Mus musculus: one gene and its partners. The protein of the gene in region 1 interacts with the protein of each later gene in a pairwise test. Links are inferred from orthologs where the notes say so. Each region holds a gene or a part of one and is shown on either strand. Other genes may lie near its edges. The genes, in order: Htt, Zbtb16, Rnf40, Hypk, Ywhab, Hax1 and Rnf20.

Region 1 (4,224 bases):
TAACTAGACAATACTTGTGTCAGGGTACTCTGGTGGAGTCAGCTTGTGAGGCAAAAATGCCAAAAAGCTGCTCATGAGAAATGAATTTCTAGGACTCTCCTCCTGGATATTCTGGCGAAAGCCAACTCTCCAGTTTGGATCGGTTTGTCAGGCGAAAAGCCTGGAAGCTGTTTCACGAGGATAAGAGTCCAGGGAAATTTTCCTCCCAGAGTTATGGCATCTCTTTCCCTAACCCATTATATTCAAATTTCCACCACATTAATCTAGTGTATAGATTCACGTGCACTCTATTAAGCATCACCTTATAGTAAATGCCTTTTAATATTGTATTCTAACATAGCTAAAGCCTTTCCCCAGTGTTCTTAGATTCCAGATAGCAGCAAGGAGCTTAACCCATTCAGTAAACAATTAAGCACTTGCCATTTTACTCAGCTGTTTACAGATAGAGACTAAAAGTCTCACTGAGATAGAAATGTTTTACTACAGGCTTCATTCCATGTCAAGTATAAGTTGATATACTACCCTGATAAGGGGGAACTCTCCAGACAGGATAAGTTTTACTAGACCTAAGAATTTAGAGCTCAGTGATAGCACATTACTCTTAAGGCCTGTCAAGAGTTAACAACCCCCTGATGCTTTTAACCTTAAAGTGTGAAATTCTTGCCTGGCATTAGGCTGATCCTAGGCAGGGCTTGTTATCCCTAATGTAAACATTTAATTAGTCCCTGCAAATTCCTTTCTGCTGTAACTGGTGAATTTCAGTGTATCTTGTCTTTTTGTGATTTGTATCCTCTGATAATTCGTTGTTATATAAGTCTGAAGCTCAACCAGAACATTACATTCAGATTCAACACCTCTCTTGTGTGTGGCTGATTGTCATTTTCATCCGACTCCTTACCCATCTGCCTAAGAAATCCCGTTCCTCGAAGACCAGGGACCTAGAGGGTCTGTGGCATACTTGGACAGCCCAGCATGGTGCCACATGCCTTTAATCCCAGAGAGAGGAGGCAGAGGCAGGAGGATGGATCTCTCTGAGTTCAGGTCAAGAGTTACATAGTGAGACTCTCAAAAGCAAAAAGAAACTACTTATCTAGAGGATAAGAAGTTTTCTATTCACACTTTTCACCTTATAGAAGGAAATTTTATTCCTATATTTTGTTCTATCAAGTAAGCCACCTTTTCTCCCCAAATCTTTATTTAAAAAAAAAAAAAAAAACAAACTCTCAGGACTGGGAACATAGCTCAATGATATCACCAGAACACTTATTTTCTAAGTGAGTTTTAATGATGACATTCTTTAGTAGGTTGTTCCCAAAAGTTCTCCTTATTAATTATACAAATCCAGATTAGAAATAAAATGCCCAGAGTTGAGAGAAAGGACTGAGCTGCAAGAGAGCACAGGGCTCAACACTCAGCATGGATTTCCAGGAAATGTTTTGAGCGTCTCTTTTCTCTTAGAGCACTGTGACTCATGGTCTCTCTTCTGTTTCAATATTCTCTCCAGTCACAAGCAGCTAGCTTCCAAAGATCTATAAGATGTCAGCAAAGAACTAAACAGGAACTTTTACTGGCACAAAGTCAGAGTCAGAGTGGCCTATGTTCTAAAACAAGCCTGTCTGCAACACTAGTAAAATTCATTCCCCGGTGAAAACTGAGCACCACCAATGTATCCGTTTTATATAGAACAAAAAATCGATAGGCAGTTAAGTATAAGTCGACTCTTTCATATATATGCACACATATAGTTTTTTATTAATAATCACACCTAAGTAACTCACCATGTACTTGACAAATACAACTCATCCAACTGCCTGCAGACACACAGAAGCACACCTCTCTGGCTATGCTTAAAACCTGGTTTAACTACACTACACCACAAACTAAATGAAACGCCAGGAGAGTACGAAGTGCCTCGAGTCACAGGCTGCTTCAAGTGTCACTTGGAAAAAGAATATCCCATTGGATGCGTTCACACTCCCCCGCCCTCAGCACTCCCGCCGAGACCTCCTAAAAGCATTATGTCATCCACTACCCGCACATCTCTCACGCTGTCCTGCACTCCCAGCTCTTAGGCCTGATGAGGAGGTAACCCTAGAGATCTCTGCCTCTCCAAGTTCTCTTCACAACAGTCATGTGCGCCACCGCCCCAGTTTCTCCAGAAGAGAGAAACAAGTTCGTTCCCTAACTTCGCAAACTGGGAACGGCGAAGGCACTGGAGTCGTGACGCCCCTCAGCGAGTCCCTGGCTGGCCTGACCCGGCTCTGTCTCCTCTGAGGGAGGCCAGAGACCCCGCAAGACGAGGGCCCGGGCCGGGAAAGCCTGGCCTCAGGGAGGTACCGCGACCCTCTGGACAGGGAACAGTGTTGGCCATGCCCAGCACGCAGGCCAGGGGCGCGGGGCCCGGGCGGGAGCTGCGGCGCCCGGACTCACGGTCGGTGCAGCGGTTCCTCTGCCGGACCTGGCAGCGGCGGTGGTGGCGGCGGCGGCTGCCCCTGAGGCGGCGGCTGAGGGGGTTGAGGCGGAGGCGGCGGCGGCGGTGGCGGCGGCGCCTGCGGCGGTGGCTGCTGCTGCTGTTGCTGCTGAAACGACTTGAGCGACTCGAAAGCCTTCATCAGCTTTTCCAGGGTTGCCATGACGGCTTCCTGCCCGATGGGACAGACCCTGAAGACTTGGAGCCTACTGGCACTACGCGGCGCCACTTAGCAGCAAGGCAATGAATGGGGCTCTGCGCGGCAGGCAGAAGCGGAACCAAGGCGCTCAGCCATCTTGGGCCCGTCCCGGCAACCCTCGCGGCGAGTGCGTCCCGTGACGTCATGCCGGCGGAGACGAGGCCACGCCAGACCCGCAGAATTGACAGGCGGATGCGTCGTCCTCTTTCCCGAAGTCAGGACGCAGGCCTGCGGGGCCTCTGCTAGTTTAAGACTCTCCGCCCCGCCGATGTGGCCCCGCCCCTTCCCGCAAAAGCCAGCCCCCCTTAGTGAAGAGGGCCAAGCAAGAGGATGAGGTGGGCGGGGCGGGCTGCTAGATGAGGGACGGAGCTGAGCGGAGAGTGGGCTTTAGGGCGGCTCCCTGGCACCAGCGATAGAAAAGAAGTGAGGAGGTGGGCAGAGGAGTTGGGGAGACCCGGAAGGAAGAAAAGGTTGGAAAGGGGAATGACAGCGAAGAAATTTTCCTGCGTAAAGCCACCCTACACCTGGAGTCACCGGGAAAGCGATTGTGGAGCTCGGAACCCGAAACCCAAAGCAGCTCTCTCTTCCACAAGCCAGGTGGTGGCCTGAGCTTCCCGAACGCAGCGTGCTGGGAGCTCCCTGCAATGAGAAGGGAACCAGAGTGACCTGTATTCAGGACCAAAGAACCCTTTATGATCCGTGGACCCCGAAGCCCCAGAAGTGTCTGCAGTAGAGAAGGCTGAGAAAGGGTTTCAAGCAGGCAGCGAAGGCTGAGAAAGGGTTTCAGGCAGGCAGCAGTAGTTACTGTCCAAAGAAAGGCTGTGTTTCATGCAACTTTGGTCACACACTCTACATTGAGACACGGACCCTGGAAAGTGCTGTGGCAACCAGCCAGGACCTACAAGGGGTCTCATTGCCACCAGCGCTGAAGTCCTTGTCTCTAGAGCCTCCATCTCCCAAAGGTGAGCAATTAAAGCAGGAAGCTGAAAATGGTGTGGATACACCCAAGCTGCCCCTGCAGTCTGCCCAGCAAAAAGTGTTGGCTTCAACCGGGCATGGTGGTGCATGCCTTTAATCACAGCACTTGTAGAATGCTTTTTGAGTAGCATGCACGAAGCTCTGAGTTCAATCCCTGCATTTTATAAACCAGGGGTGGTAATCATGTACTCTGCAGGTAGAACGAGGATCAGGAGTTCCAGGTTTTCCTTGGCTTCATAGTGAATTCAAGTCAGCATGGGCTGTATCAGAACTTGTCTCAAAAGAAAAAGGAAAAGGAAAAAGCCAAGCAGTGATAGAACACACCTTTAATCTCAGCAGTCTGGAGGCAGAGGCAGGCAGATCTCTGAGTTATAGGTCAGCCTGTTCTACAAAGTGAGTTCCAGGACAGCCAGAGCTACATAGAAACCCTGTCTCAAACAAACAAACAAAACCGTTCCGGCTTCAGAAAAAGCTGTCTGGAGGTGATCCATGCAGTGAGAAACCCAATGAAGCTTCAGGCTACCTGTAAGAATCAAATGCCCTATTCCATGGCCATAAGGCACTCCATTTTCTCGAA
Region 2 (3,500 bases), on another chromosome or scaffold:
TGTGTGTGTGTGTGTGTGTGTGTGTGTGTGTGTGTGTGCTTGTGGGAGCCAGAAATCTTCTTCAATCATTCTTCACATCCATATATATATATGTACATGTATATATACATGTATGTATATATGTATACACACATGTGTATATACATACACACATATATATACAGATATATGTATGTGTATGTATGTGTATATATGTACACGTACACACATATATATATACATATATGTGTGTATGTACATATATACACATACATACACATATACATGTGTGTGTGTGTGTGTGTGTGTGTGTGTGTGTGTGTGTATGATGAGATCTCTTGTTGCGCCTGGAGCTTGTGAATTTGGCTGACTGGCCACAGTTCCAGGATTCCAGTCTATCTCCACCTCCCCTGGGCTATGATTGCAGCTGCATTTTGCTGAATTTGGGTTTTTTTTTTTTTGGTGTTGTTGGAATGCATGGCTTTTTACATATGCAGGTCCTCACATTTGCATAGCAAGCACTTTAACAACAGAGCTCTCTCTACCCCCCACACACACACCCAAAAACTGACCTTAAAAAGTGACTTTCCATATTACCCCCCTTTTCACAGCACATTCACATCCGGAATGATAGACCTATCTGGTCAAGGTTCAGGGGGGTGTTTCCTCTTAAGAAAAGCAAGAGCAAAAAACAAGCACAATTTCATCAGTCTATTTTTTGAGCAGCTCAAGTCCTAAGAAGACACATATCCGCAGTTGTTATTTTCTGTACTCTCTGGAAAAAGAAATGTTTACTTTTTTAGCTGAGTACCACTTTCCATAAGGTACAGCTCAGCTCGGCCGGTCAGGAAGCTTCCGGAGCACGCTGCGGGTAGAGGTGATTATATCGGTTTCCCACCCCCTCAAGTTCCCCCACCTAAATAAGCAACAGGAATGGAGGAGGAGGAAGAGTGCACACAAAGGTGGAAAATCCACCCAAGGTCAGCAAATCAGCCAGCCGGAAGTTGTGTAAAAAGTTAGCATCCATAACAACAGAAAACCAGATTTGTGGGCGCAACTGGTCCGACTCAGGGACGCGGGGCGAAAATGATGGGCTTGTAGTTTATGGCAAACAGAAAAGGCAAGCCCACTGCTAACTCCCTTCTCTTGGGCCAGTGCTCCCCAACCTGTTGTGCAGGAAGGATCTTCTTCATTGGGTAGCTACAAGGAACCATCACTCACAGGATGTCTTACTTTGCATCTTCCTGCCTTCGTAGAACTCAGCCGCAGCATTTTCCCTGTGTCTTACTAAAAGAAACACAACCTACCTCTGGGGGATATTGTAACAGAGGTGCAATTCCAGGTGAAGCACCTGTCCTAAACCAAACATATCACAAGAACTCAAAAGTGGGAAGGGCGTTGCAAAGATGAAGCCAGAAGCCAGAGGGCTAGCCTTTATGATAAGAGATGGCATGAGAAGAGGCTATATAGGCTGTAAGACCAAAACTCTTCTCCTTAAATTTAACTAAAGCTTTCTCTGCCTCACAATGTGCCTGCCAAAAGAGACACTTGAGACCTATGGGTACATACAGGACTTAAACGATCCCCAACCCCTGCTTTCATCATAGGCTGCCGACAGTGGGCAAAGAAAAAGCTAGACTGATACCATGGCTAGATCCAGATCAGAGGAGACCCTCAGCCTGAACCCCACTTTCTGCCCTTCTTCTCATCACTTTATTATTAAACAGTCACTCTAGGCAAAACAAAAGTGTAGTCCAAACCACAGAAAAACCAGATGGAGGCCCAAAAGCAAAATGGCAAGGAGGGCCTACAGGCTGACCCCAAGAGTTCCCTGATGTTACCAGCTAGACACCATTTCTCCTCACTGTCCTCTGAAAATAACCGTGCCCGCCTATGCCTCAATAATGAGAAGAATGGTTCGGTGTGGTTTTTCAAAGAGCACAAAGGAGTCAAGTCCCCAGATTCAGGATGGTCCTGGCATAAAGAAACGCTATGCAAGCCAGAGCATGGTTGCAGGGCTACTGCGGCAGGGGCTTACCTGTGCTGCTCCACTGCCTCGTTGTCCGGAAGCTCGACCCCACACACGCTGCACTGCTCCCCCAGAGGGCGGCTCTCAGCCTTCATGCCCACAGCCAGCTCCCCCAGCTTGCTGAACAGCTCCCTCTGGATGAAGCCCTGAGGCAGCAGACCCCCGTAGGTGCTGAAGTCCATGGAGACTGCCAGGGCAGGTTGCACATGGAGACCGGACGTCACTGAAGACGGCATGCTCAACACAGCATCGGCCTTGTGGTTGGGCAGCACCGAGTAGATACCCAAATGCTTCTCCACTGGGGGTGCCAGGGGCTCCTGCCGCCCAGGGGGTCCCTGGCCAGCTTCAACAGGAGGCGAGAGCTGCTCACCACTCTCCTCTCTCCCATAATGCAGCTCTCTGGCACTAGTGATGACACTGCCTCGAGTCGGGGTCCCAGGCCCCTCTTTGCTCCTCTCTTCAAGCTTGTCCCCCATCCCTCCTGAGATGCTAGACTCAGCTGCCCCAGGGCTGTCCTGGCCAGGGGCTTCATCTACCTGCATCATTTCCATCTTCACCTCAGCCACCCCAGGGTGTCGCCCACCCCCTGCCAGTGTGGGCTCCTCAGGCCCTGCAGGTGGCTGAAGAGTTCCTTGCAGGAGTGACTGTCCTATACTCATCAAGCTGTCCACGGCTGCCTTGGTAGGACTCATGGCTGAGAGACCGAAAGAGGTGGAGACTGAGGGGCTCTGGTCCACCATGGGCCCAGGGAGGCTCTGTCCAGCCACACTGGCGTAGCCACTCTCCTCGCTGGAATGCTTCGAGATAAAGATGTTCTTGAGGTATCGAGCCTTACGGTCCTCTTCTTCTTCGCCCCCACCGTCAGCCATGGTGGCCTCTGTGTCATTGTCATCAGATGCCTGGATGGTCTCCAGGATCTTCAGGCACTGCTCCTCCAGGTATTCGATCTCTAAAATCTCAGCTGCATACAGCAGGTCATCCAGGTCCTCCGCCTTGGCTTGCAGTGTGGCCGTGTAGGCGTACTCCAGGATCTGCTGGAAGGTTTTTGGCGAGAGGAAGTCTAGAGTATAGTGCTGGCTGTTTCGGTGGAAGAGGATCTCAAACATCTTGCTGGTGCAGGCTAGCACCGTCCGGTGGGCATGGAACTCCTGGCTGTCCACCATGATGACCACATCGCACAAAGTCCCAGCCAGTCGCATCTGATTGGCCTTGCACAGCAGCCCCGTGGGGTGGCTAGGGTTCTGCAGCTGGATCATCCCCATCTTTGTCAGATCCATGATGCTCCCCTGGGCTCAGGCATGGGGCTCTCTTTCCTTCTCTGCTCTGCAAGGTGGGGCGGTGTAGATGTCGGGGCCAGCAGAGGGGACTGGAGAAGAAGGGAAGAGAAGACAAAAGGGGTGAGCAAGTGACAACAACTTCCCCAGTGTCCCTTATAATAAAAAGTCAAAGGCTACAGTATGCCTCTACCCCAGAAAGAGGCTTGGTTGCGGGG
Region 3 (4,272 bases), on another chromosome or scaffold:
CCTCGGATAGCAAACCCAAACCCTGCCCAAGTTCTAACCGCACCCAAAGCCCAACTCCTACCTCCAACGAGATGCGGTGGTGTTTCTCTTGCAGCTGAGTGGCCAAGTCCTGTAGCCTACGGTTCTCTCTGCCTAGCTCCCGGGTGCGCACCCGTGCCACCTCCCCAGGGGCCTCACTGTCCCCTGGGAATGCAAAGCCTGGATGAGAGCCAAACCCTGGATAACCAAGGAAGAACTAGCTGATCCCGGAGTCCCTGGATAACCAAGGAAGAACTAGCTGATCCCGGAGTCCCTGGATAACCAAGGAAGAACTAGTTGATCCTGGAGTCCCTGGATAACCAAGGAAGAACTAGTTGATCCTGGAGTTTCTGTGCTCAGTGTTATGCACCAGCTATCTCACCAACTGCTTATGACAAACTCAGACTAAGCTAGCTCACAGAGGGACCATTCAGCCAAGAAAATGGACACTAGGGAGGAGAATTAAGGGCAGGAGGAAAAAACCCCTTGCCTCAAAAAGCCTGGGCACTTGCCTCTCAGTGTAGTGGGACAATAGCTACCCCTGAGGTTGGTGCAAAGTTCCAGAGAGCCCTCCTGCTGAAGGGCTGTGACCCTGCCAGCATCAACAGCTCCTCCAGCCGTCTCTCTAGAGCCCCACTTCAGGAACTAAAGCTGAAATCCCCGTCTGAACTAAGTTGTCCCAACAAGAACAAGGCTGACATTTACTGGGGACTCTGAACAACGCAGGCCAGGGTGGATTTCTCAGGGTAGGGTCCACAGAACTAACCCCGGCTGTATACTCGCTGACAGAGTTCTTCCACCTGCCGTTGCAGGCGGTCCGAGGCCTCGACCACCCGAGACACGGCAGCCTTGGAGAATTCCATCCGACCCTGCAGCTGCAGCTCCACTTCCTCACAGCTGCTGGCGCCCAGTGCCACCACAAAAGCCAAGGCCGGCTCACTGAGAGGGGCTCGAAACTGCACTGGCAGCGGTTCTGGAAGGGACAGAGAATCCTCATCAGAATGAAAGGCCACAGCAGGGACCATCAACCTCTACCAAGTCCCAGAATAAGCTGCTTGGTATTCCATGGCTGCCGGGTGGTGGTGGCGCACACCTTTAATCCCAGCACACTCTGAGTTTGAGGCCAGCCTAGTCTACAGAGTGAGTTCCAAGTCAGCCAACATTACACAGAGAAACCCTGTCTTGAAAAACCAAAATAAATGAATTAATTGATAAACAGAAAGACTTCTGCTTCTACTTTTCAGAAGGCTGGGATTATGAAAATCCAATTAGATTCTAAAACTTTGTTCATTCCATTAAAAAAGAATATTAAAAAAACCAAAAAAAAAAAAAAAAACAAAAAACCCATGTTTTTAAGACAGAGTCTCACGATGGGCGTGGTGGCACACGCCTTTAATCCCAGCACTCGGGAGGCAGAGGCAGGCAAATTTCTGAGTTTGAAGCCAGCCTGGTCTACAAAGTGAGTTCCAGGACAGCAACTTCTGCTTCCCAAGTGCCGGGCATTTCGGTAGCCCCACATCAAAGTCACCTCCTCCTCAAAACCTTTCTGAGAACATAAGCTCCCCAGGGCCCTGGTCCTACCCCTCAGATCTGATGTCCCTGGGTCTGGTCGAGGGATCACATCACGGGTCAGGCCCTCTTGGCACCCAGGCACCTCTGTCCCTGAAGACAGTTCCCTCTGGTTCTCGTAGCACTGGAGGAGGGCTTCTACAGTTTCATCCAGCTGAAAGAAGAAAGAACAAGAGGTTAGGAATGCCTCAGGGCTTCTCCCAGTAGGACGCTCGCTCTTCAGGCATCCACCTGGGCCCAGTAGCGGTTGACGATGAGGAGTGTGGCATCATCAGTGGCCTGCCTCTTCTCCAATTTCTCAATTCTCTCCCGGAGCTCATCCTCGCAGGCTTGCCGCTGCTCCAACCGCTCCGCCAGCTTCTTGTTCTTGAACTGCAGTACCTTGGAATCCATCTCCTCCTACCAGAAGGGAAGAGGCAGAGTGTCGGGCAGGACCCTGAACCATCACTGACACACAATAGGACAAGGATTAGACTGAAAGGGGAGAGGTATATAGCAAGGCTCAGACACTTGCAAAGAGAATATGCTAGTCATGAGAGCTTCACATTCCGTTCCTGCCCCTACCTGTTTCCAACTCAGACACATCACACAGGACTTACGGGAACATATGTGCGCATAAGTAAAAGGCCAGAAGGGACTCCGTAAAGTTGTTCTCTGATCACATTCACGCCGTTGGCACACCCACCCTCACCACCCGGTTTGTGTATATACACACGAGCACACACAAGATTCCAAACACTTTGGGCGCAGGCCAAATGTGACTTTCGCAAAAGCCCACCAACCGTGGAAGAAATGCCGCCGAGACGAATGGGTTCGATTAGAGTGGTCGTGGTCTTCTCCTCGCGGTTCATCTTCTTCTCTGGGGGTCCTGAGCCCCCGTCGCCGGCGGCGCGCTTGTTGCTGAGGCCAGACATAGCGGCGGTGGCGGAGGGGCAACTCAGGGCTCTCCGGGGCTGGCAGGCGGGTGGAGGCGGCACTTCCGTCACCTGCAGAAAACAGAGAGCTGAGCTGTGGATGCGTCTGGAGCTCCGCAGTCCTGAGCGTCCCCCTGGACATATCTCCCGGACCCCGCCCCCGCCGGACGGGGGTCCGCACTTACCGTAGGGTCAGCCAAGCGCCACCATCTTGGATTTCACCGGACGTCACCGGCCGCCAGACGCACAGCGCAGGCGTCAGAGCCGCTCCGGATGTGGCGAAACTTATTTCCTGTTTCTATTGGTAGCTCTTGGTTCCTCCTCTCGAGTCTTTTAGTCCCACCCCTCCAACCCCGCGACGGACTGTATTTCTCTTAATGATTGGCCAGCAGGCGGTTCCCATAGTTACTGACCCCGCAGTTGCACTAGGAGATGGAGGGGTGGAGCCTTTGCTGCTGTTCGGGGTACTCGGTACACGACCCCTTGTAACTCCAGATCCAGAGGATCCGTCATCCTCTCCTGGCCTCCGCGGAGCCCTCCCGAACATCCTGTACATATGTGCGCACACGCACGCACAAACACAATCTTTTAAAGATTTAAATTAAATCTTTAAAAAGACCGACCCTCAAAAGCACCCTTACAAGCAACTTCTAAGAGGCACGTGCAACTCGTTACGCATGCGCTCTATCTTTTCAATGATTGGCGTGGGCTTGTACTTTCTACTTTCCTTAACAACGGTCACCGGGGAGACAAGTTGGGAAGACGCCCTCTGCGGATTGGCTGCCTCTCGCTTCACCGCCTCTGAAGAAACACTAGAAGGGGCAGGACCGGGCTTTGCAGTGGGAGAGCTGGCTGTCCCAGAGCCCAGGCTGGAGAGCCCTTGACTGAGGCTAAGAAGGACGAAGAGATGATTACCCCCAGTTCCAGCCAGAGCCTGGGAATGAAGGTGCAGATGGAGTCGGAACAATCTCCCAAATTGCAGGAGGAACTGGACAGGAGTCCCAGCTCGGTGGACGGCTCGGCCATAAGGAACGGAACAGACATGCAGACCGAGTCGCCCGCAGAAGCCACTAGTAGCCCTGTGGAAGTGGCTGAAGATCCTGGAGCCAACTTGTTCCCGGTGAGGGCGGGACAGAGTTGTCCTCTAGTGAATACTTAGGTTTCCCAAAAAAGGTGCCGCCAGTCATTACGTTTATCAACATTAGGGAATTTCCTGGAGTTGCTTTGATTGTAAATAGGCTGCTAAATAGTATTTCGAGCCCACCGAAGCCCGGTTTTACCTATTTTGCTATAGTTAAAATTATAGCACACTCAGACCTGCTAGAAATTCATGAGGTACTAGGGACTAGGGGATACATACTGTCGTATCTATTTGTCCCATAATCTGTCTTCTCTCCGCAGCCACCACTACCCCAGCCCCGGATCTGTATGTGGTGAGTGTGGAGAGCCCAGGGGAAAAGTTACACTTCTCATTTGTATTACTCCTGTAAGGTGTCCTCAACAGTCCTGTCCAGCCAGGGCTCTCCAGTTTTACAAAGATGAGACTGAGAAGTGCTCAAGGTAACGAGTCACCAGCGTGCCAGGTGCCTCAGTGTAAAGTGGCGGTGTGAGAAGGGAGGCAAAGGCAGGAATGTACACAGCTGCAATGATGGAGCACTGTGCACACCGATGCCAAGGCCCAGGGGACTTCATCAAGGTCACACAGAGCAAGACAAGGACTCAAAGTTGTTTTTTGGGGGGTTTTCAAGACATTGTTTCTCCTTGTAGCTTT
Region 4 (3,131 bases), on another chromosome or scaffold:
ATTTTGCTTTTGAGGCAGGTACTTACTGAGTCACCTCTCCAGGCCTGATCCAACATTTTGATATCTGTGTTCCCATTTCTAGAACCTAAGTGTTTATTCCAGTTGTTTGTAAATACAGTTGATAACTTAAAAGCCCCCAAAACAGATGCTAGCCTTTGATACTCATAAGCTAGCCTGGAGAGTTAGTTGAAGCAGCTTTCAAGTTAGGGAGGGGTCTCAGTTTGGAAACAGCCTGGTTTATACAAGAACAGATCCAAGGGGAAAAGTGCATAAGCTATCCTAGAAACATATGCATTTGGATCTTTTGCAGAGGATCCAAATGTACTCTACATTGCCAAGAAAGAGCTAGTCAGGTGAGTGATACTAACATACCACTTAGTATCTGCTGCTTAGAGCTGGCAAGATGGCTTGGTAGAAAAGGGCACTTAAATTTGTTTCCCATGTGGTAGTTATTAGAAACACTATGGCAGTAGAGGAATCACACACACAATATAAGAGCCTGCATTTGAACATTAGGTACTTCTTTATACTGATTGTTCACACAGTTTCATCAAGGTCCAACATAGAAACTGACAATAAAATAGAATATATAATGCATTTGATCTGAGATGAAACTGAAGAAAAAAAAAAAACAGCAAAACAGAACACTTTATTTCAGTCAGTCAGTCAGTCCAGAATGTCTAAAAAAGCACATTATCAGTTGGTTAGGGCAATAAGAGCCTCCACCACATTGCCCATGTGTTCCCTCAAGCTCCTTTCTGCTGCTGCTCGAGAGATCTCCATTTCCGTCATCTGCAAAAGGGAAAATCACGTCACCAAAGCCTCTTCTCCACTTGTTTCAGGAGCCCAAATTAGGTAGCACTTCTCTTGTGAATCCATTAAAAAATTAATACTCACTATCAACTCCAGATCTTCCTTCTTGATAGTGACCTTCGCCAGTTCCTTCTCCCTGTAAATATTTATACATTTCTTTTCATTCTCTGCCTCTGCTATAAACTCCCAGAAGGAACACTCCCAGCTACTCACTGAAAATGGGTGGAACAAGGTTTACTGAAAATAGCAAATAAACGCGCCAACTCTTTCCCCTGGAGGTTTTACAGTAAGGTATCCTGGAATCTTTCCTTCCACTAACAAAGTTGTAATCCCTAGATCTGTAGAAATTGGTTAAAGACGTAAACTTTTTTTTCCCCTGGAGAACGAGGACCTACCGGTAGTGCTGGTGGTGTGCTTTAAACTTACCGCTCTTGTTTGGCCTTTTGTTCCCTGGACCGTCTGTCTCCAATGACGGACATAGCCTGTAGAAAACACGAGTCAAGTTATCTACCACCGTGCCACGCAAATTTTCTGATCTAAAACGCAATACCAAAAATAAAAACCACGTGGTTTTCAGGTATTCACAACTACGAGTGTTCTCAGGACCAAAGGACTACGCCTAATTTCGTGCACATGAGATCTATTTAGGCCCAATCTCTATCGAATTCTTAAGCAAACAGCAGACTGGGTGGGTGCTGTCGCTTAGCCCCACCCTACTGCCAAATCCCACCATTGCTATCAGCCTTCCCGGAGCCCCAGTGAGCAGCAAACCGGTCAGTCTCACCTCTCTCCCGCCCCTCTCTCAACCCCTCATACAAGCTCCCAGCCAACTTCACCGTTTCAAGATTCGAACTCTGGATCTCCTTCTCCTCCGCATAGTCAGTAACCCGCTCTAGGTCAGCAGCACCACTGTCATGTTTCCTTGGCTTCTCGGGAGGCCGCTCCGGGCCGCTGGTCTCGGTCTCTAACTCCAACTCCACGTCTCCCTCGGTCGCCATTTCGATCTCACCGCGCCGCCGCATAGGCTGCCGCTTCACAACTTCCGGCAACCCTCACAGCTTCCGCCCAGATAAGGGGCGGGGTAGGCGTGGACCACACCTTTGTGCCTGTCTTGAGAAGCTTCAGCTAGCAAAGAGGTTCGCTTTTGACTTCCTCTCCAGCTTGTTTTCTGCAGTCTCCTTCGACTATCTGTTCACTACCCACACCACCAAGGCACATTGTTCCTAAGAGCAATCCTTTCACACATAGAGACACACACATGGAATTCTGTCCAATCAAGGTGGCTAATCCTAAACCAATTAAAAAACCTAATCCCTAGACCTGATAGGCCAACTGCTCCTAATCTCAGAATAACAGTCCGAATGATCCCGAATAGGAAGCCCGGCGAAGGCATCTTCACAAGACTATTTGCATCTATCTACCACTTCCTGGTAACCTGTATTCATTTTATGACATGTCTATGCTGCCTTAAGACGAATGATTAGGCCAGCAAAGCGACTGTCCAATGGGCGAAAATCCCGAGAAGCTGCTGTTTCTCGTCAGTTTTTCCAATACTGGATCTACATCTAACAAAAATGATGGGTGCAAAAGTTGTCACCGGCCGGAGCACCACCCAGGGTCTTGCACAGCAGCACGGTGGAGTCAGTAATGTAGTGGAAACCCCCTTCAATCAGGTGAGACATTTGGGAAGAGATAGCTAAAAAGCTAGGAGTTGGGATGAGAAACCTGGTTCTTTGCCTGGGTAATAGGTAAACATCTCATTCCACATTCCCAGCCATAGATCATTAGGAAAAAGTTAAGTGGTTCAAGAATACACCAAAGTTTAAAGTTCTTGCAATGAAAACCTTACTAGTGCTTTGTGGAAGGTAATCCTAAGAGGCTCATAACCAGACAGAAGGATGGAGGGTTTGGGAATTTGACCATTGGTTAACCCCACACCCTTTGAAAAACTCTGCATTGCTTCTATCCCCAGGCATCCTGCTGTGGACCTGTTTCTTGGACCAGTGGCTGCCACTCTCTGACAGAGTCTAGGTGTAGCCGCCTGCTCTACATCCTCCTCCACGTGGGAGCCTCAGCAATCTGCTGCCTCCTGCTTTCGAAGACAGTGGTAGAAAGGGTCTGGGGCAAAGCACATGGGGTAAGTCGGCAAGGGTTGCAATGTGAGGGAAAAAAAAAAACCTTTAAGATTTGGGACAGGGAGCAAAGGAGTCAACCTACCAGTAAAAAGTTGAGACTGTCCATAGATTGTGGCTGGCCCTGACTTTTCTCACAACCAACTCCCTGCAGATCCAGATGCCCTCAGTGCTATGTGCCCACCT
Region 5 (3,500 bases), on another chromosome or scaffold:
AATAGCCTCTTTATTTGACTTCAATTTCTAAAGAAAAATGGAGGAAAGTTTATGCAATGTTCCTGTTTGCTGTAGGTCTTTTTGAGGGAAGGAAAACACCCCAGAGAAGATGAACTGATCAAGAAACGGTGACAAAACCCAAGTTACATGCTTTAGAACAAGTGACAGGTGGCTCTTAGCTTGAGTCCAGCAGAGCACCTCCTCTCTCTCTCCCCTAAGCTGTCTGAGAGCCTGCATCTGGACCGCTCGCTATGCCTAGAGATGCTGTGTAAAGCAGGAGCGCCGCCCTCACCAGCACATCGTTGCAGATGTCCTGCAGCTCCGCCTCGATCTTCTCACGGTACTCTTTGCCCATCTGCTGCTTCTTCTCATTCCTCTCGGTTTTCTGTTCGATGCTGGAGATGACACGCCAGGAAGAGCGGCGGGCACCTACCACGTTCTTGTAGGCAACAGAGAGTAGATTCCTCTCTTCATTGGAGAGTTCGTGTCCCTGCTCTGTTACGGCCTTCATAGCTGCAGCCATGTCATCATAGCGCTCAGCCTGCTCAGCCAGTTTGGCTTTCTGTACCAGCTCACTCTTATCCATGGTCATTTTCTACAACAGCAAGAGCACAGAGAACGCAAATGTCAGGTTTCCAACACTCTTACAATGCAATCAAGAATGTGAATCATATACTGAATGTCTACAGAGCCAAGACTGGGCCAAGGCTTTAAAACTCATTTTGGTCAGCTGTTATCAACCATCCTACATGGTAGGCATATCCCAAAAACCCTTCTACCTTCTTAGAAAACATGAAGATTAAAAGAAAGAAAACAATGAACCCAGAAGAGCCCAGCATGTAGAACACAGTGGAAGTCAAGACTGTTGGAGTGACCTTTTCCATATTGTATTAAGGTATGTATTTTAAATTGTTAATTCTGGTGATGGCAGAATTTTGGTATTGTCATTGCTACAGCTCATCACCAGCTTCCTATTTGTAACAACCCTCAATGGCTTAGGCAACCAAAGAGGCGATCTGGAGTTGTCTCACCACTGGGGCAGGAAGTACAAGGGTGGACCTTCTGGGCAGAGAGAGTGCCGCAGGGGAGACAGGCTGAAGGAGCTGAAGGCAGCAGGGAAAGGACACTGACAGAGCAGAGCAGAGCAGAGCAGAGAGGTAAACCGCTAGTCACCTGGCTGGGGCAGGCTGGAAGTCAGGCTAAGTTAGATGGGCTGCTGGAGACTGCCTCAGCAAAAGGCCTACAGCTTTAAACGTTATATAGAAGTTTTCACGCTTTATTATTTAATACAAGGCCTTTAAACTTGCCTGCTTCTTCTAGAGCTTCTTTGTTCCACTATCCTATCCCCCTCCCCAATACACAGAAAGTGCTTTTAAAACACTTTCTGTGTATTTTAAACATTCATTTGTGTGTACACGCCCATGGGAGAGTGCATGCATGGACACGTGTGGGGAAAGGAGGATAACTGTGGGAGCTGGCTCTCTCCCTGCACCACGTGGGTTCCAGGGATTGAACTTGGGTCATCAAGTTTGGCTCCAATCTCCTTTTCTTGCTAAGCCATGTTGACAGCCACCTAATAACTTTTTTTGAAGTTTATGCTGCCCGCTAATCCAAAGGACCTGCATTTAATTCCAAAAACCTACAGGGCAGTTCATAGCGCTGGTTCCAGGGGGTCTGACCACTTTCACCCCACTTCTGGCTGCAGAGTGTATGTGGTACACAGATAAATGTGTGGACATATAATACAGTACACATAACAATACATACATGATGCTTTTTCTTTTTTAAAGTAACCTTAGCTCTACACCCTGCCAATACAGAAGACCCTTCTCACTGTCTACTTCACAGCATCCCACAGCAGCTAAGAGTCAAACAGCAAGCATTCTGGCTAGAAGAAATGTCAGCAGAAATGACAGTTCTCCCAGGCAAAAACCAGTGAAAACCCTAGGCCTTTCTCTTAGAGCTGTCACCTACAAGTCCATGCATTCTTATGCGCAGCCCACCAATGGTGACTTTCTACAGAACAAGTTCCTGAGGGACTATGCCACACTAGACATGCAGCATCAAAGAGAAGTGCCAGGGGCTGGAGAGTTGACTCAGCAGGGAAGAGCTGCTCTTTCAAGAGGACTTGGGTTCAAATCCCTTCATGCTTGTAGCAGCTTACAACCACCCAGAATTCTAGCTTCAATGATGCAATGCCCTCTTTTGGCTTCTGTGAGCAACAAGCATACACGTTCGCGCGTACACACACGTACACACACACTCACTCACACGCATGCATACACATAATCATACACATGCATGCATACATACACACACACACACACACACACACACACACCCCTATATACATAAAAAGAAATAAATCCATCCCAGCACTTGGGAGGCAGAGGCAGGTGGATCTCTGTGAGTTCCAAGGCCAGCCTGGTCTAGAGTAAGCTCCAGGTCAGCCAGAGCTACACAGAGAAACCCTGTCTCAAAAAAATCAAAATAAATAAACAAATCCAAAATAACTATTTTAAGATTCTTTGACACTGTCAGAGTTCTTGAAGATTAAAAACCATCATGTTACTGCAGACATAAATGTATGTCTTTAAAAAGAAAACGGGTATTTTCTAAAACTTTCAATTGTGCGCAGACACACACACACACACACACACACACACACACACACACACAAGAAAACACTAACTAAAGGCCCTGATGCTTACTTACATAACTCAAGACTTACATAGCATGGATTTGGAGCAGCCGGGCCAATTTCAACAGGAAATGGGTTACACAACATCTACTAGTTTGGAGGAAGGCACAGACAAGGAAAAATGAAACAGTCCCTCTTTCTTCGCCTACCTAACACCCAACCTGCACTTCAGGTCACCATCTTGAGCTACCTCACGTCTCAACTATCAAAACCATCCTCTGATTGTTTCCATGGCGTCTTCCTAGATCATGAGAACAGCAACAAACACCAAACCCTCTCACACGTGCTGCTGTAAAAATGGCTGTCTGCATACAAATCCACTTTCTGTCTTGACTCACTCACTAGGCAATAGCTCTTCCTCACATGATCCCTACACCACAGCCACCAGCTACATGTGGCTATTCACTAGAAAATGTGACTAGTGCCACCTTTTGAAACCACAATATTTCGGATATTTAAAACTGTTCATTTAGCTTGCCTTTGGTTGTGGTATCTTTCTTTTTCTTCTTCTTCTTCTTTTTCTCTATACAGGGTTCTCTGTATAGCCACGGCTGTCCTGGAACTCAGTCTGTAATCCAGGCTGGCTTCGAACTCAGAGCCTCATGTATATTACACTCTAGCATTGTGTAACAGCCCTGGACTTTGTTTTGTTCTGTTTCTAAGGTTATAATGAATCAACCAAATTTTGTATTCTATTTCCAGTCTCTCCCAGTCTCCTGCACATTGCCTGGTATGCACAAAGAGCTCCTAAATGAGATGGTAAAACAGATCCGGGCCCTACCCTCCAAACTTGGCAGTA
Region 6 (4,295 bases), on another chromosome or scaffold:
TCCCAATATATTGCTAACAGCACTATGCTGAGTTTAGTATTTTCTTATACTGGTCCCTTTCCCCAGAGGATTATACTTCTTCCTCTCAACTCACCCCATCTGGCTTAGTGATCTTGGTCACAGAGATACTTTTGAAATACGATTTGGGCTGGGGTTGAAGAAGTGGACCCAGACCTTCCTGGGAAACCTGGGAGTCAAGATCTGGAAGGGCAGAGAGATGACAAGCCAGGAGAGAGTGGAGGGCAGGTAATTAGATACGTTTTTCAGGAAGAACCTTCTGAGAGAACTTCAGGAGAATGGTATGGTAAATGTGCCTCCTTCTAGACTTACCTTTGTCCTCTTTGGCTCTAGAATGGGGACTCACAGGCCATGTATCATCCAACTGTAGAAGAAGCCACACACAATCAGTGAAAAAACACCTTCCAATCTTTTTTTTTTTTTTCCAGACAGGGTTTCTCTGTATAGCTCTGGCTGTCCTGGAACTCACTTTGTAGACCAGGCTGGCCTTGAACTCAGAAATCCACCTGCCTTTGCCTCCCGAGTGCTGGGATTAAAAGCGTGTGCCACCACGCCCGGCTAAGAACGAATCTTAAAAGTGCAGGAAAGAATTTCAGGAATTCTTTTTCGTAGAAGTCCATATAAAACTAAGGAAGAAGGTATGTGAATATAAGCTGCCCAAATGGAAGTATTTCTGGGGTTTTGGAACAAGGGAGGAATATGGGTTCTCTGACCTTCAAGTTTAAGATTGGAAGGTGTCAAACCGGGCATGGTGGTGCACGCCTTTAATCCCAGCACTCCGGAGGCAGAGGCAGGCAGATTTCTGAGTTCGAGGCCAGCCTGGTCTACAGAGTGAGTTCCAGGACAGCCAGGGCTACACAGAGAAACCCTGTCTTGAAACAAACAAACAAACAAAAAACAAAACAAAACACCAACAAACAGCAACAAAATCCTAACTAACAAACTCAGAGGCAGGAGATCCCTGAGTTTGAGGCCAGCATGGTCTATATAGCAAGTTCCAGGTCAGCCAATACTACAGAGACTCCGTCTCAAAATACATAAACAAACAAATCAAATCAAATAAGAGAGGGGAGGGGACACTCTTGTAGAGGACCATAGTTTATAGTTCCCAGCAAGAGCATGGTGGCTCATAACCATACATAATTTGAGTTCCAGGGGATTCAATATCCTTTTTGACCTCTGTGGGCACAGGTACATGTGGTACAGAGACATTCAAGCAGGCAAAACACTCATACATATAAAAGAAAATAAATCTTAGATGAGGTGTGGTGGCACACATTTAATCCAGAGGCAGGCAGATATCTAAATCTATACAGTGAAGTAAGTTTCAAAACGAAAATCCCAATAATGAAGAAAATCTGGATAAATGAACTAATTAAAGGGGCTAAAATTGCAACTCAACTCTAAGAGATCCCACCAAGGGCTTACAGTTCAGGTGCAGAGAGTACTCACCCTATGAAAAGGTCCCTGCGACCCCCAATCTGGAGCTGGTTTTGGGGATTCAGGTTTTGCATGACTCTCCAAGACCCCCTCAAAGATCCTGGGTTGGTGACTATCTGGGTACTTAAGCATTGAGTCTCGTAGTGTCTGCCCCTCCCGCAGTCTCTCACCAGGTGTTTCTGACTCAGGACCTGGAAGTTCTGTAGAAAGTTGGTAGGTGATTCTGGGATAGGAAAGGCCTTAAACATTTTAAGTCTTTTAAAAATCAATTTCTGTAGACTATCCCAACTACTCTGCAAGTTCTGTTATTCATCACTAACCCACTAGAAACCCATAGGGTCTCCCTCAGGGAAATTCACACACCAGGAGAGTGGGAAGGCAAGGTCCAGGCCCCCATCTCGCTGAAGATGCTATTAAAATCTCGTACTAGATCATCAAAGCCAAAGTTGCCGTGGAATCGCATCCCTCCCCTGGGGCTGAAGCTGAAACCGAATTCCTCTGGAGGCTGAGAACCATCAAACGCATAGCTCTCTCGACCCCACGCGCCTCTGTCTTCCTCCGCTTCGTCATCATCATCATCATCGTCGTCATCATCTCGAGTCATCCCTCCAAAAAAAGGATCTCTGTGGCTGAGAGTGAAGGCAAATAAGCCACGAAGACTTCAACACTGTCTAAGCCATAAAAATCAACACAAGGGCAGCAAACTGGGCCAAAGAGGGGTCTGGGCAGCTGAAAACACAGGAGATCTGGTTTCAGAACAACGTTGATGGATCTATTAGGGTTTTGTATTGTTTCTAAACAGAGCCTCTCCGCACCTCCCAACAGCTGCCAGACGACCCATGGTTTTTCTTCAGGGTCATCCAGCCTACTACTAATCGCCCAATTACTTGCTCATGGTCCTCTTCCCCAGACCCCCATTGTTTTCTCCGCCCAGGTCCCTGTTGCATCACCCAGGTCTGGAGAAAGCTGCCGTTTCTGTCCTCTTAACCACTGCTTTGATTACTGTGGCGGGGTGAGTACTCAAGAATGCGATCTTTGACCTCTCAGCAGGAGTTGAAGGGGGCGGGAAAGGAAGCTTTCCAAAAATATGATGAAGGGGTCAAGTGTCCACCAAAACACCCCTCCCGTATATCCAGCCCAGAACTATTCTCACCTCCGAGGTCCAGGAAAGCCGAAAAAGCCTCGGAAAAGATCAAAGACGCTCATTCCAGTAGGGGCACTAGAAACTTTGAAGCTCTGCAGCCCATGGGCAACACGAGACCACGACCAGCTTACGCTACCCTGTCGGATATAGCCAGGGCTCAGCGTTCGCTGCCGGAAAGCAACCCTACGGTGCGGCGTTGTCGTAAAAGTCGTAAGCCGGAGGAAGAGGCGGGGCTGACCGTGCTCCTCAGACACGAAGCTTCTATACGCTACCTTTCAGTTTTGAGTGAGGGTGGACGTGCGAAATTCCCAGTTCAAGATCACGTCCCTTCTAGGAGATTCTTTCTCCTGCTGATCTGCCAGGCCCCCGAGGGGGGTTTCCGTTTCTCTCTGGAGGGTCCCAGGTAGCCGCCAGAGGGAGTGGCCTGTTCAGAGGCCTGCTTCACCCCAGGATCAGAAAACACCCCCCACCTTGTGTTTTGTTTTAGACTGATGTCGGTGACGTCTAATACTAGGCTAGGCGAAGTTACCTAGTTCCTTAAACCGCGATTTCCCTACTGCTGAATAAAGATGCTAGGAATCTCTTCAGCTAGTAGGGAGTTTTTAAGCTTGTTTTTTTCGATACAGGGTTTCTGTGTGGTGTTCAGACTGTCCTGGAACTGATTGTAGACCAAAGGGGCTTACAAACCCGCCTGCCTAATGCCTCCCAGATGCTGGGATTTAAGGCGGTTACCACCACACGCTGCTTTTAAAAAACTAAACAGATGGCCAACTAACAAGGTAAGATTTGTAGACTAGGCAGGAACGAGAAGCTACTTGTGTCTTGGGAAAACCATGCCGTAATGAAATTTGATGGTGTTTTAATCCACTCGGGAGGTATAAGGCCAGCCTGCTCCTCACTGAGTTTCAGGCAAGTCGGCTACAGAGTGAGACTCTGACTCAAAATAAACAGACCTCCCTCACCTCCTCAGCACAGAGGATATTTGCAGTTTTGGAAGGCTGAAACAGGATCTCGAGTCCCTGGCAATATGGCTCTTACAAAGAAAAATGAAACTTCTCTTTCACGTAATTGAAGTCCAAAAACCTTTTACTGCACCATGCCCCCACCCCAGGTCTTGCTCTAAGATCATCCATTCTTTTCCCAAAATGTAGGCATTTCAAAGCCACATAAAATAGGCAAGGCAGGGTGTAGTGCTGACAACCTTTAACCTTAGCACTCAAGAGGTAGAAGCAGGCAGATCTCTGAATGTGAGACCAACCTGGTCTCCACACCAAGCTCCAGGCCAGTCAGGGTTACATAGTGAGACTGTCTCAAAAACATAACTCAGAGAACAAGAACTACTATACTCCTCCAAAGAGAAAAAGACCCCAAGATTGAGTTCTGCCGGCCAGCAGCTAATGCTGGCTTGAGACTTCAGAATCCTTTAAAACCATGCTTAGATTCCCACAAGGTCCTTTGCCTTCTAAATGTCCTTAGCTCCTTCCCCTTTCACTTCCTGAAACGTGCTGTAGATGAGGCAGTTTCTAGAAGAAATGAAGATTTGCAGTAGTTCTTTCCAGTCACAGAATGTATAAGGAAATCCCCTTAAGGGCAAAATATTAGCACATTAAGGTGAGAGATCTTAAAGGGCAAAGATTTCACTTTATTCCACAGCCTTCGAGCCTGCTAGAAGAGGCCCCAGTTGGTACGGTAA
Region 7 (3,500 bases), on another chromosome or scaffold:
GAGGGAAAATTTGCTATTTCCAGATTTATAATTTGGGGGGGCTTTTTTTCTCCCCATGTTCTCAGGGGATGGGCAAGAGCCAGCTTTCTCTTTCCTTGCTACTTTGGCTAGCAGTTCCAGTGAAGAGATGGAATCTCAGCTTCAGGAGCGTGTAGAGTCCTCCCGCCGTGCTGTGTCCCAGATTGTGACTGTCTATGATAAATTGCAAGAAAAAGTGGATCTCTTATCCCGGAAACTGAACAGTGGAGGTGAGGAGAAGACCAGGAGACAGGGATCAATGGGAGGCAAGAACTCAGCTCTAGGAGGCTTGGGGTGCTGCTCAGTAGTAAGGGAGAATGTGGCTAGGTGTGTGGCTTCTATTCCAGCACCAAAACGAGTAAGAGAGGAAAACTCAGTTTAACGAAGCTCCCTGGAGTTTTAACCCTTGTGACTCTCAGTGTAATTCCCATGACATGCTAACGATATACTTTCATAAGTAGAAGTAAACTTCTGACTTCAGATGGTGAGTTTTAATGTGTTCCTTTTCCTTTGGTGTATTTAAAGACAGTTAGATGAGGTAGTAAAGTAATAAGATGACTCCTGTGTTTGAAGAGATAGAATAGGAAACCAGTGGATGAAAAAGCCTTAAAGTAAAATGACCATTTGGAATACTTATTGAGTTTTATTACTGAAATTATGTTTGTACAGTATAGGAAGTATACTAAAATTATTAAAGATCTTTAGTCATTTGTGATAGATCTCTTTCTTAAATGCAGATAAAATGCCTTTATTTCAGGTTTTCAACATTAGCCATGATCTGGTTACAGTATCTTTTAAGAAGTTTTATTGTATATGTATATGTGAGTGTATAATTATATACACATGAGTGTAGGTAACTGAGGAGTTCAGAAGAGGGCATCAGGTCCCCCTGGACCTTGAGTTGTTGGCCACCTGACATGGATTTTTGGTAACTAAACTGGGGTTCCCTGCAAGAGCAGTACATTCTCTTATCCTCTAGCCATCTCCCTAACCCTCTGTTGTAGTATTTTAGCTGCCGTGATTATCATCAAGATATTTAATGTTTTAATCTCCTAAATAAATTAGTTAACTATAATGTGCTTTATTTACTAGGTGAGCAAATAAGAACTGTATTATTCTAGAATTTTATTTTCAAGAAAATTCTTAAAAATTGCTTCTTTTTTAGTACGGTAATTAATATGCTTGTTTATATTTTATTTTTTAATTAGGATACTACAGTTGAGAGTGGATGGGTATGACTACTCCTTCCTATTGCTATAAAACTAGCTGTGTGATACTTCTGTCTCCCATGGCTCTAATTGACTGCCTAGAGGGTATTGTTAAACCACTCTAATGTGGGGAATGTACAATGTGCAGAGGTTATTTTGATGCTACATTTGATATTTTAGGTGAATGTCAAGTACATTATTTGCTATATTTGTAAAGGAATTAGACTGAATAGAAAATAAAACTGAACTAAGAACTGTTTTGGGGTTCTGTGTCTACAAGATTGCTCAGCTTTGAAGGCTCTTGCACAAGCCTGATAACAAGCGTTTAATCTCTGGTTCCCACAAGGTGGCAGGAGACAACCAATTCTTGAGGGTTATCCTTTGACCTCCAAATTCACGTGCCTGTACACACAGGACAGACCCATGCATACACAGAAACAAAAATTATTTTTTGTAAGTGTGTTTTAAGATCAAGTTTAAGTTAAAAAAAAAACACATTTTATTTTAAATTCTAAATAGTTAAGCTGTTTGTGATCCAGAGGAAATCTGTGTTGATAAAAAAAGTAAAGATATATATCTTTATATCTATATGAATTATAATGTATATTATAACTCATAACACATATATGTATATGTGTGCTATGAATTATAATACTGAGTAATAACTTTTTAGAAGTTCATTTTCACCCATGGTTTCATTCTTGTTTAGATTTATGGCTTATTTATTAATTTACTAACACTCACTGGGTTTTAATTGAATTTTAGGGCCTGGCTTCAGAACTTAGGGTATTGAAGAATGAAAATTTAGGCATTAGTTTTTAACTCAGGTTGACTCAGTCGCCGTTTAATTATGTATTTATTTTGCCATAGCTATGGAGAGTCTTAACTAGAGGGTTTTGTATGAGTCCCTGGGAATTGTCTATCTTGAAAGTCTGATAAATGATTCAGGTGGGCAATCCTACATGGAAACTGGGAACCCGTGACTTGACTGATCTGTTGCATGAGTACTGAGAGCAGTAATAACAAGTGGTGTAGGAATGCTTTTTCCTGGCAACTCTAAAGGATAATGTGTGTCTGGAGACTAATTGGTTCCATTTATAGCACATAGATTGAGCTGTAATAATTATGACTAATTTTAAACACCTGAATTCAGCATAAGAAATTCTAAAGATGTAACTTGTAAATTTGTAAATATTATGTACATTTTTGACTTTGAGCTTCAGGAACTTTAGACCGTGTACAACTGTGCTTACCCAAGGCTACCTACTCTCCACCTTGATGCCCTTCCCCCATTGTGTTTGATGCCATTGGATATTCATTCCATTACGAACAGTGGCCAGCCAGGTGTGGAGTCCAAACTGTCAAGTCCAGCCTGTGCAATGATGTAGTGATAATGCAAAGTAAAGCCTTTATGTCTGGCTTTGAGTAAAATGTTCCAGCAGAGCCTATGCTTTGTTTGGGTTGATCCATAGAGGCTGAGAAACTTTTTTTGAGACTGTTTGAACTTAAAGAAGAAACATTGTGTCTCTTGAAGGTCTGCACTTGGTGCTACTTGAGAGCTTGCCACTGCACAAACCTTGATCCTAAGACACTCGAGGCAAACCTGGAGTTCTTCCTCCTGATTTTTGGCTAGCCATGATCAAAGGGACTGAGATTCGTATGGGTCATTTGCTCTCTCTGGTAGCAAAGGAAAGAAAATCAACCTTGATAGTTGGAACCTTTTCCAGACCCAATTAATTTTGTACTTAACATAATATTGTGATAAGTGAGTTCTGTGTTTTTATCTTTGTTCATTGGGATTTTTATATGTGATTATTTGAAGATAGAAATTATGCTTCCTGTCTCTCCACCACAAAAGAGAGATGCTTCATGTTGTTATTAGTTAATAATAGGAGTTTGTGATTACCTTATAAAATAAAATTGTATTGCTTTAATTTGGACACTGCTTAGAAATCTTGTCTGTTCTAAATTCTAAAGTATCTATTTTTGGTGATGGTAATTGTATGTGAATACAATGATATAGCCTTCATTTATTTGTTCAAGGCATTTGTCTTAACAGAGATGAGAATAGGTGATGGTTGCAGGTTGACTCATTTATATAACCAATTACCTATCACCTGACCTGGGTGCTTCCTGTGTCCTGTGAGATAACACACTAGGTTACTTTCTGACATTCTGAGGATAGTGAGGTGAGCCATCAGGTTGATGCTTTGATGCAATAGATGATTGTACAACTTAAGACTATTGATACTAAACTAAAGTGCAGTTCTTCTT

What was found.
Region 2: the proteins of Htt (region 1) and Zbtb16 interact in binary tests that used the Homo sapiens proteins (3 or more experiments, as listed by UniProt). The link is inferred for Mus musculus from reciprocal best matches to the Homo sapiens genes HTT and ZBTB16.
Region 3: the proteins of Htt (region 1) and Rnf40 interact in binary tests that used the Homo sapiens proteins (3 or more experiments, as listed by UniProt). The link is inferred for Mus musculus from reciprocal best matches to the Homo sapiens genes HTT and RNF40.
Region 4: the proteins of Htt (region 1) and Hypk interact in binary tests that used the Homo sapiens proteins (3 or more experiments, as listed by UniProt). The link is inferred for Mus musculus from reciprocal best matches to the Homo sapiens genes HTT and HYPK.
Region 5: the proteins of Htt (region 1) and Ywhab interact in binary tests that used the Homo sapiens proteins (3 or more experiments, as listed by UniProt). The link is inferred for Mus musculus from reciprocal best matches to the Homo sapiens genes HTT and YWHAB.
Region 6: the proteins of Htt (region 1) and Hax1 interact in binary tests that used the Homo sapiens proteins (3 or more experiments, as listed by UniProt). The link is inferred for Mus musculus from reciprocal best matches to the Homo sapiens genes HTT and HAX1.
Region 7: the proteins of Htt (region 1) and Rnf20 interact in binary tests that used the Homo sapiens proteins (3 or more experiments, as listed by UniProt). The link is inferred for Mus musculus from reciprocal best matches to the Homo sapiens genes HTT and RNF20.

What each region holds. Positions count from the first base shown.
Region 1 is NC_000071.6:34,760,316-34,764,539, reverse strand, and holds the start of Htt (huntingtin), read right to left. Parts: upstream 2,801-4,224; 5' UTR 2,634-2,800; coding exon 2,431-2,633; intron 1-2,430.
Region 2 is NC_000075.6:48,829,726-48,833,225, forward strand, and holds part of Zbtb16 (zinc finger and BTB domain-containing protein 16), read right to left. Parts: intron 3,375-3,500; 5' UTR 3,286-3,374; coding exon 2,018-3,285; intron 1-2,017. UniProt on the Homo sapiens protein: Acts as a transcriptional repressor. Transcriptional repression may be mediated through recruitment of histone deacetylases to target promoters. May play a role in myeloid maturation and in the development and/or maintenance of other differentiated tissues.
Region 3 is NC_000073.6:127,587,226-127,591,497, reverse strand, and holds the start of Rnf40 (E3 ubiquitin-protein ligase BRE1B), read right to left. Parts: upstream 2,801-4,272; 5' UTR 2,687-2,800; intron 2,574-2,686; 5' UTR 2,502-2,573; coding exon 2,370-2,501; intron 1,987-2,369; coding exon 1,819-1,986; intron 1,742-1,818; coding exon 1,600-1,741; intron 992-1,599; coding exon 785-991; intron 217-784; coding exon of another isoform or gene 184-216; coding exon 62-183; intron 1-61. Other genes in the region: Ccdc189 (coiled-coil domain-containing protein 189), read left to right, coding at 3,409-3,621, 3,903-3,934.
Region 4 is NC_000068.7:121,455,810-121,458,940, reverse strand, and holds Hypk (huntingtin-interacting protein K), read right to left. Parts: upstream 1,854-3,131; 5' UTR 1,836-1,853; coding exon 1,650-1,835; intron 1,296-1,649; coding exon 1,240-1,295; intron 950-1,239; coding exon 898-949; intron 793-897; coding exon 697-792; 3' UTR 501-696; downstream 1-500. Other genes in the region: Serinc4 (serine incorporator 4), read left to right, coding at 2,388-2,486, 2,786-2,950, 3,100-3,131. UniProt on the Homo sapiens protein: Component of several N-terminal acetyltransferase complexes. Inhibits the N-terminal acetylation activity of the N-terminal acetyltransferase NAA10-NAA15 complex (also called the NatA complex).
Region 5 is NC_000068.7:164,008,697-164,012,196, reverse strand, and holds part of Ywhab (14-3-3 protein beta/alpha), read right to left. Parts: intron 596-3,500; 5' UTR 593-595; coding exon 293-592; intron 1-292. UniProt on the Homo sapiens protein: Adapter protein implicated in the regulation of a large spectrum of both general and specialized signaling pathways. Binds to a large number of partners, usually by recognition of a phosphoserine or phosphothreonine motif.
Region 6 is NC_000069.6:89,995,917-90,000,211, forward strand, and holds the start of Hax1 (HCLS1-associated protein X-1), read right to left. Parts: upstream 2,801-4,295; 5' UTR 2,665-2,800; coding exon 2,612-2,664; intron 2,583-2,611; exon of another isoform or gene 2,409-2,582; intron 2,188-2,408; exon of another isoform or gene 2,088-2,187; coding exon 1,822-2,087; intron 1,659-1,821; coding exon 1,471-1,658; intron 383-1,470; coding exon 331-382; intron 202-330; coding exon 95-201; intron 1-94. UniProt on the Homo sapiens protein: Recruits the Arp2/3 complex to the cell cortex and regulates reorganization of the cortical actin cytoskeleton via its interaction with KCNC3 and the Arp2/3 complex. Slows down the rate of inactivation of KCNC3 channels. Promotes GNA13-mediated cell migration.
Region 7 is NC_000070.6:49,638,560-49,642,059, forward strand, and holds part of Rnf20 (E3 ubiquitin-protein ligase BRE1A), read left to right. Parts: intron 1-65; coding exon 66-248; intron 249-365; exon of another isoform or gene 366-3,415; intron 3,416-3,492; exon of another isoform or gene 3,493-3,500. UniProt on the Homo sapiens protein: Component of the RNF20/40 E3 ubiquitin-protein ligase complex that mediates monoubiquitination of 'Lys-120' of histone H2B (H2BK120ub1).